Linked DNA regions of Xenopus tropicalis. The protein of the gene in region 2 purifies or fractionates together with the protein of the main gene of each other region. This does not show direct contact. Links are inferred from orthologs where the notes say so. Each region holds a gene or a part of one and is shown on either strand. Other genes may lie near its edges.

Evidence for each region.
Region 1: the proteins of rnf19a (region 2) and sod1 purify together in Homo sapiens (affinity purification with western blotting, with the first as the bait; 3 studies listed by BioGRID). This does not show direct contact. The link is inferred for Xenopus tropicalis from reciprocal best matches to the Homo sapiens genes RNF19A and SOD1.

Annotation. Positions count from the first base shown.
Region 1 is NC_030678.2:15,648,373-15,652,808, reverse strand, and holds the start of sod1 (superoxide dismutase [Cu-Zn]), read left to right. Parts: upstream 1-1,469; 5' UTR 1,470-1,485; coding exon 1,486-1,554; intron 1,555-4,389; coding exon 4,390-4,436. UniProt on the Homo sapiens protein: Destroys radicals which are normally produced within the cells and which are toxic to biological systems.
Region 2 is NC_030682.2:128,194,446-128,197,873, reverse strand, and holds part of rnf19a (E3 ubiquitin-protein ligase RNF19A), read left to right. Parts: intron 1-163; coding exon 164-326; intron 327-806; coding exon 807-921; intron 922-1,087; coding exon 1,088-1,249; intron 1,250-2,552; coding exon 2,553-2,766; intron 2,767-3,428. UniProt on the Homo sapiens protein: E3 ubiquitin-protein ligase which accepts ubiquitin from E2 ubiquitin-conjugating enzymes UBE2L3 and UBE2L6 in the form of a thioester and then directly transfers the ubiquitin to targeted substrates, such as SNCAIP or CASR.

The DNA.
Region 1 (4,436 bases), on a different chromosome or scaffold from region 2:
CCGGTAATTGCACTTTGCCCTTTTCTGTCTGAAAATCTCGATTTTACTCTATTTTTTTTTTTGTTTTTTTTTGTTTTCTTTGTGTTTTTTTTCTCTATTTTTGATAACACACGCCCAGTTGATGATGTCATACTGGTTTTGGCGCCACTGTTGGGTTTATTGGGGGATTTGTTTGTTGCACATTCACTTTGAGAAAGGCTGCTGTGTCAGCCGAAACGTTAGTCCTTGCTAATAAATATTTTTTGTTTTCATAAGACCTGTGAGTGCGGCATTTATACATACTATACAGATGCTTTGCTATCCTGCACCCAGGCATTATTTATGCTATCCTGCTACCCAGGGGCCCCCACACCCCCTCTGGCACCCCCACCGGCTACTCATCTAAGGCTAGCCCCTCCAGTGCCAGGGTCCGACTGCTACCCAGGGGTCCCCTCACCCCCTCTGGCACCCCCACCGGCTACTCATCTAAGGCTAGCCCCCCCCCCCAGTGCAACTTATACTTACTTTTTCCACGATCAGCAGGGGGAGGGCAGCGAGGGAGCAATAGGGGAGGGCAGCCAGGGATCGGGATAGTTTGGCGGAGCCTGGGGCTTTTCCAAGAAACAGACATAGGGGCACATTTACTAAAATGCGCTTTTTTCTGGCCTTGAAATGCAAAGTAAACACGATAATTTCTGTAGTTCTAAAATGTCTCGACAAAGCTTTTATCGTTTGTGCAAAAATATCGCAATTGCGTTCTGAAAGTTTGTAAACGCCACAAAAACAGTTTTTGAAGCCCCCATAGGACTCAATGGCACTTGACAAACCTGGCAACGTCCCAAAGTGTAACCATAGCGATAATGAATTCCAAAATGTTCATATTCTGTGCACAAAATACGACTTTTTCATGGAAATTTTACCGAAAACCATGAAAAACCATGAAACTGACTTTTTCCCATACATTCCAAAATGTTCTATAAAAATACGAATTTATCTCAAAATTGTTTAGTAAATGGGCCCCATAGTGTCAGTAGCACTGCTCAGTAAGGAAATCTTTTTTTTAAATACTTTATTTTGTATTTATTTTGAAGTAACAGGTGGGTTTGGAGAAGTTCAGCATTAATGTAAATCCGCCCATTAACACTTCTGCTACAGTTTCAAGTCAAAACCCAAGAATAAAAAGGGATAAGCAGATACTGCCTTAGCAATTGCATTTACAAATAACGTTAAAAGCACTGAAACTGTGCAAATAAATGTTGTTAATTAAAATGATATTTTTATTGATTATACAACCAAGAATAAAGATTTGGGCGGAGTCAGAGCTTACAGGCAGCCCGCGGGTCACGTGGTTGAGGGAGCAGCCCATTGGCTCAGCTGCTGGGGCGGTGGGGCCTAAAGCGCCGCTTTTATTGGTTGGAGGAATCACGTGGTACGTTTGTGTCACTAGTTGTCTCTCAAGGTGCGCGGCTCCGCTTTCTCCGCTGTCCGGTCTCGGTAGCTGCAGTCATGGTGCGGGCGGTGTGTGTGCTGGCGGGAAGCGGCGACGTGAAGGGGGTGGTGCACTTCCAGCAACAGGCGAGTATTGTAGCGTGGCTTTAGGCATTGTGCCTTATGCGCTTACCCTTACTGGGCCTGTCCTGTGCCTTCAGCTGCTAGTGTTCCTGCAGCCTGCGCCATCTGTGCAATTCCAACCAGCCTTTCCCCTTAGGCAGTATGAGATGCACAGTGCATGCTGGGAGGCGGTTGGGTTGGCAGTGCATGCTGGGAGGCGGTTGGGTTGGCAGTGCATGCTGGGAGGCGGTTGGGTTGGCAGTGCATGCTGGGAGGCGGTTGGGTTGGCAGTGCATGCTGGGAGGCGGTTGGGTTGGCAGTGCATGCTGGGAGGCGGTTGGGTTGGCAGTGCATGCTGGGAGGCGGTTGGGTTGGCAGTGCATGCTGGGAGGCGGTTGGGTTGGCAGTGCATGCTGGGAGGCGGTTGGGTTGGCAGTGCATGCTGGGAGGCGGTTGGGTTGGCAGTGCATGCTGGGAGGCGGTTGGGTTGGCAGTGCATGCTGGGAGGCGGTTGGGTTGGCAGTGCATGCTGGGAGGCGGTTGGGTTGGCAGTGCATGCTGGGAGGCGGTTGGGTTGGCAGTGCATGCTGGGAGGCGGTTGGGTTGGCAGTGCATGCTGGGAGGCGGTTGGGTTGGCAGTGCATGCTGGGAGGCGGTTGGGTTGGCAGTGCATGCTGGGAGGCGGTTGGGTTGGCAGTGCATGCTGGGAGGCGGTTGGGTTGGCAGTGCATGCTGGGAGGCGGTTGGGTTGGCAGTGCATGCTGGGAGGCGGTTGGGTTGGCAGTGCATGCTGGGAGGCGGTTGGGTTGGCAGTGCATGCTGGGAGGCGGTTGGGTTGGCAGTGCATGCTGGGAGGCGGTTGGGTTGGCAGTGCATGCTGGGAGGCGGTTGGGTTGGCAGTGCATGCTGGGAGGCGGTTGGGTTGGCAGTGCATGCTGGGAGGCGGTTGGGTTGGCAGTGCATGCTGGGAGGCGGAGGGACAGTCCCATAGGAGGGTATTTCTGCATTGCCAGTATAGGTGTGGGGGGGTCTTGTCTCTGTCCTAGACTTTTACTGGTGGGAACAAATCATTTCCACATAAGCTGTGGCCCCTGTGCCACTTCCACGGTCTCTCCTACACACAGCGCTTGTTATAGGGCCCCGGGGTGTGAGCGCCACTCGGTGAGGGATATGTAACTCCCCGCAGCCCACTGACCGCTATATCATGAATGACAGTTGATGGGAGTTGTATAATAACAGAGGGCTGTAAGTGGGATGCACACGTTAGTCTCCCCCCCCCCCCCCTCTCACTCTCTCTCTCCTCTCCCAGGCCTCTTGCCTTTAGCTCTGTACCTAGTGTCCCACCCCCACAGCACAGAATCCAGGGGGGAAAGTCCATGTTGCGCTGTAGGGAAATCCCACAGAATCATTTAGTTTGCTGCTTAGTGCCCTGCAAAAATACCTTCCAGAACAAGTAGGTGCTGGGAGTTGTAGTTTCATACAGCCTGTGGTGCCAGTTGTGCCCATGTCTGCTGTCCTTATACACATGCATTGTTACCAGTGCCCCATGCCCTGCCGGAGCCGTTCCTGCCATGTAGTAGATGAGGAATGGGTGCCCTGCATAACTCCAGGGAATTGAAACCAGTGCCCCAGGGCTTTGCCCAGTGCTGCTATTGGTTACAATGAACACAAAGAGCATGCAGGGAGTTATAGTTTAGTTATACAGGAGAGTCACAGGTTGATGTTGTGACCCGCTGTTCTGGTTGGTGTGTCACGTGCCGCCCTTTCACCCCAGACTGTGTGTTTGCAGTGAGGCCCAGGCTGCATGACGTGCCAGCGGGCCGGCTATCACTGGGCTAAGCTGCGGCTCTCAGCGAGGGGAAGTCGGGTCAGAGCGGCCATCTGTTGTGTGGGTGTGAGGGCCGGGGGCTCGCTGCTTTGTGGCCATGTGGCATGGGGATTATACATGTTGGCAAAGCCACTCTTGGTTATCTCCTTGTAATTAGCCTGCTGGGCAGGCAGGTTGAGGCTGTGCCAGTTAGTGCAATTGTGCCAGGGGGGCCCTGATGCAGCACAAGCCCTCACTGTTTATGCCCAGGGCACACACTCACCATTAGCCACATTGTGCAGTCATTCACTGTCTGTAGAGCAGTGTTGGGCCCAGGGACTCCGCTAGATGCGGTTGAACTACAACTCCCACTATCTGACTGCATCTGGGCTCTTTGCAATAGAAGCAGCCAGTGTGGCAGAATGCCAGGCAGATAGGGCACAATGCCAGGCAGTTAGGGCACTGCTGTGTAAGTGTGACTCAGCACTTTGGGACTGGAACGTCGAGCTTTGTTTTGCAATAACAGCCATTTGCTCCGGCGTTTCATTGGCTGCAGCAGTGCCAGCGGTGTCTGAGACGGGCAGTGTTGGACTGCAGCTCCCACAATCCCACAGATAAGTCAGCTTAAAAATGAACCCGAGGTCAGGAATCTTCTCTGTGGCTCTGATTGGTTTCCCATTCTGTAGGCGGGCCATATGCCATTAACCCCTCAGGTGCTGGCACTTTTTGATCCATCTGCTGCATGAGTGGCCAGTAACATGGGCTGTGTTTAAAAAGACAAGTTGAATCTGTGGCACTGGCACGATATGCGGATTTGCCCACATGTGCAGCGTTATTACATTCAGTCGTCTAGAGCTTTAATAGTCATGTGACTCAGGGTAGGGGTTCAGTTAGAGCCTGCGCCTCGCTGAATCCAAATGCTGTAGCCATATATATCCCATAGCTCCGCTATCCTACCCGCACATTCCAGCTTTAATATAACATAGATTTCTATACACTGTACTGTTATGGTCGGGGCAGGAATTCCTTATAATAAAATCCTCTCTATGCAGGACGAAGGCCCAGTGACAGTTGAAGGGAAGATTTACGGCCTGACTGA
Region 2 (3,428 bases):
TGTTCTGCATCACTGTGCATCTGCTGGTCCTAGAGCTGCTTTTGTCACCCATTGCTGTTCTGTGGCATGTCGTTGGGGGATAATTGTGGGTCCAGGGCCACTCTCCGTGGTAACTGCTTCTCTGACTTGTTATTGATTCTTACAATGTCCTTTGTTTTCTCAGTCCTTCTGGATGCACATTTTGGGGGAAGAAGCCATGGAGCAGAAAGAAAAAGATCCTCTGGCAACTAGGAACCCTGGTGGGGGCACCGGTGGGCATAGCACTGATAGCTGGAATTGCCATTCCTGCCATGATAATTGGCATCCCTGTATATGTGGGACGAAAGGTAGGTCACCAACTGTGTTTTATATATGTGCTGAGCAAGGCTAATACCTAGAGAGAAAGTTTTGCCCAGAGTTGTTGGTCATCACCAATGTGCATAGCTTGGCACAGATGGGCAATGCACCTCGAGGTGGCACCCCTTATGGCTCAATTGCTGTGAGAGTGAAGGAGTTTTGGGAGCGGTCACTGCTTATAACTGAAATGTTTTCACTTTATTGCTTTATGTTATTATTTCCTGTAACTGAGAAGCACAAACACAGGCAGTGACAGTTTGTTAGGAGACTGAATATAGGTGTTTATGTATGGGGAACTGTGATTCTGTAAGTTACCCACAAGCCTCTCTATTTTTTTTTTTTTTTTTTTTTATAAACGAATAGGCCTCGGATTAAGGAATTCTAATCATGTTAGCAAGGAATTGTGGGATGAATAACCAGCCTGACCATAATATGAGTTAATTAATGGCATGAAATGTGTTTTCTCACAGATTCACAATCGTTACGAAGGCAAAGACATTTCAAAGCACAAGAGGAATCTGGCCATCGCAGGTGGTGTCACCTTGTCTGTCATTGTGTCGCCAGTTGTGGCAGCAGTAACTGTCGGTAAGTGTAGGCTCTGCAATGATAAACATTCACTTGCATAGTTCCAAATGCGGACTTGGCCACGGCCAGTCACACTGCCGATCACAGCTGCTGCAAAGGCAAAAGCTGGGCATCCCATAATAAAATCAGGATACAATTATAATAACATTCTTCTGCTGTCACCAAGGTATCGGTGTTCCGATTATGTTAGCCTATGTCTATGGAGTGGTCCCCATCTCACTGTGCCGAAGTGGCGGCTGCGGGGTTTCTGCTGGCACCGGCAAAGGAGTCCGGATTGAATTTGATGATGAGAATGATATCAATGTCGGTGGCACAAATACCGCTACAGGTGAGAGAGGCCAACAGTGTTCTCTATAAAGGCAGCAATGATCTAAATAATTTGTGTATTTCTGAATAGAATTGCACTCTAGGTTCACCCAGACTGAACCCACAACTTTTAGGTTACTTTGAACAGAACTCAACTAAATCCTTTCTCCCCCTGTGCAAATTGTATGCAGGGAAAGAATTTGGGGGGACTGTTTTCAACAAAGACATTTTTAAATGATTGTTTTCTGATTTTTTTCCCCCCTTCGTTTCCTTTAAATATAATTGTGTATCATAGTGGGAATGTGTATGCAGCACAAGTCCTGCCCACAACAAGAGCAAATGTACAACTGTTAGTTACTTCTGCTTGAGCAGCAGCTGCTGGTAGAGGGTGATGGGAGTTGTAGTTCATCAGTGGCACCTTTCTGGGACTAATAAGCGGAGGTAGAAAGTGGCAGCTCCTGTTTATGATAAGTATGTTTGATCTGTCGGTGGGTGATGGGGTGGTCCCTCAGTGGCGGGATCAGACGGGGGATGTGCTTGGGGAGAGAGAAATGTTCCATATAAGGAGCGATTACCAAGCAGAACCTTCTGGTCATGCTAAAGGGAAATGCTTTCATATCTGCACAAGCCAAGAGCTTTTCTGGGCACAGTGACAAATCATATCTAACCCCAAAAATGCTGAGATCTACAGTATCGGGAGAATGCAAGTCTGTGTCTGAACTGTCTGTTTGGGTTACTGGGAACAGAATCCCTGCCTATAGTATGGTCAGATCGTGGGCCTGGGGGTCAAATGATTGACTCTGCCCAATTTGACCCAGTTCAGTGGCCATCCATGTGCTTGGGCAATCAGGGTGCATGGGCAGCTATAGAGTTCCAGGCAAATAGCAGCACCCGTGGGTGCTAGCGCACTTTCCTGCTCCCGTACAGACTGATGCTCTTTCCTGCTTGGCCTGCGCTGTGTGTTTACGCCATTGCCTGGAAACAGAATGTACAGGACATATTGCTCCAAGCTTCCAAGGTCTCTGCCAAATGCAGATTTTCCTCTCGTTATTTCCTGATGTGAAACCCCAGGCTTGCCCAGAACAGTCTGTAAAATAACTTAGGCATTTAACACCTTTCTTGCCCAACAATGCATGGCTTTTTACTACCAGGTTATTCACACAGGGATTTGACCCCACATTGGCCAATATGGCCAGCTCTTATGTTCATCCCAGGTGGCACAACTCTTATCCCTGTGTGCAGAATCTGGTTCATAGCAAGACATTTTAGTTCAAGTTGGCGTGTTAGTGTGTGTTTACTATACATTTTTGCTTTGTGTTGTTTAGATGCCACGTCCGTTGCAGAAGCGCGCAACAACCCCAGCATCGGAGAAGGAAGTGTAGGTGCCATGACGGGCAGCTTGAGTGCCAGTGGGAGTCACTTGGAAAGAATTGGAACCATCCGGGATAACCTTAGCGAAACTGCTAGCACCATGGCACTGGCTGGGGCCAGCATCACCGGCAGCCTGTCCGGAAGTGCTATGGTGAATTGCTTTAATAGGTAAGGCATGGCTCTGTAGCTAGGTAGTACTGCTGCCATGGGCATTAGAGCAAGGAGTAGGACCCACATTTACAGGGAGGGAGCATTCAGCCAGCCATACTGCAGCTGTGCCGTGGTCACTGCATCTCTGTACCAACTTGCCATATCACCACCTTCTAACTAGGCATTCAGTTCATGTTACATGATCAATGGGCGCTGTGCTGCCTGCACCACGGCCTATACAGAATACCGATATTATAGCTGTCCAGGATCTAATGACAGCCCTGTGGGAACTACAGTTCTCCGCATACTTTGGGCTTGGTAAGTTATGCCTTGTGTTTTCCCATGTGTGCAAGCATGTTTTCTCCCAGTAATTATATCTTTATGCTGTATGCAGAATTTCCTGCTATTAGAGGACAAACTTTGGGACCCCTACAACTAAACTCTCCCCATCAGATATCCCCTAGCCCTGCAGCACCCAGGATGGCATAGGTTAACTAGGAGCTTAAGGTTCACTTATAGAAGCAGCTAGGATGGTAAAGATTAACTGGGAGCTGGGTAGGGATTATATGTACAAAGGTTTCATGGTGTGGTAACTGGCTATGGAACTATGTAGCATTCAGCCTAATGATAGTGCTGTGCCCCATTTGTCATTGCACTGTGCTCTGCAGGACACAGACTTC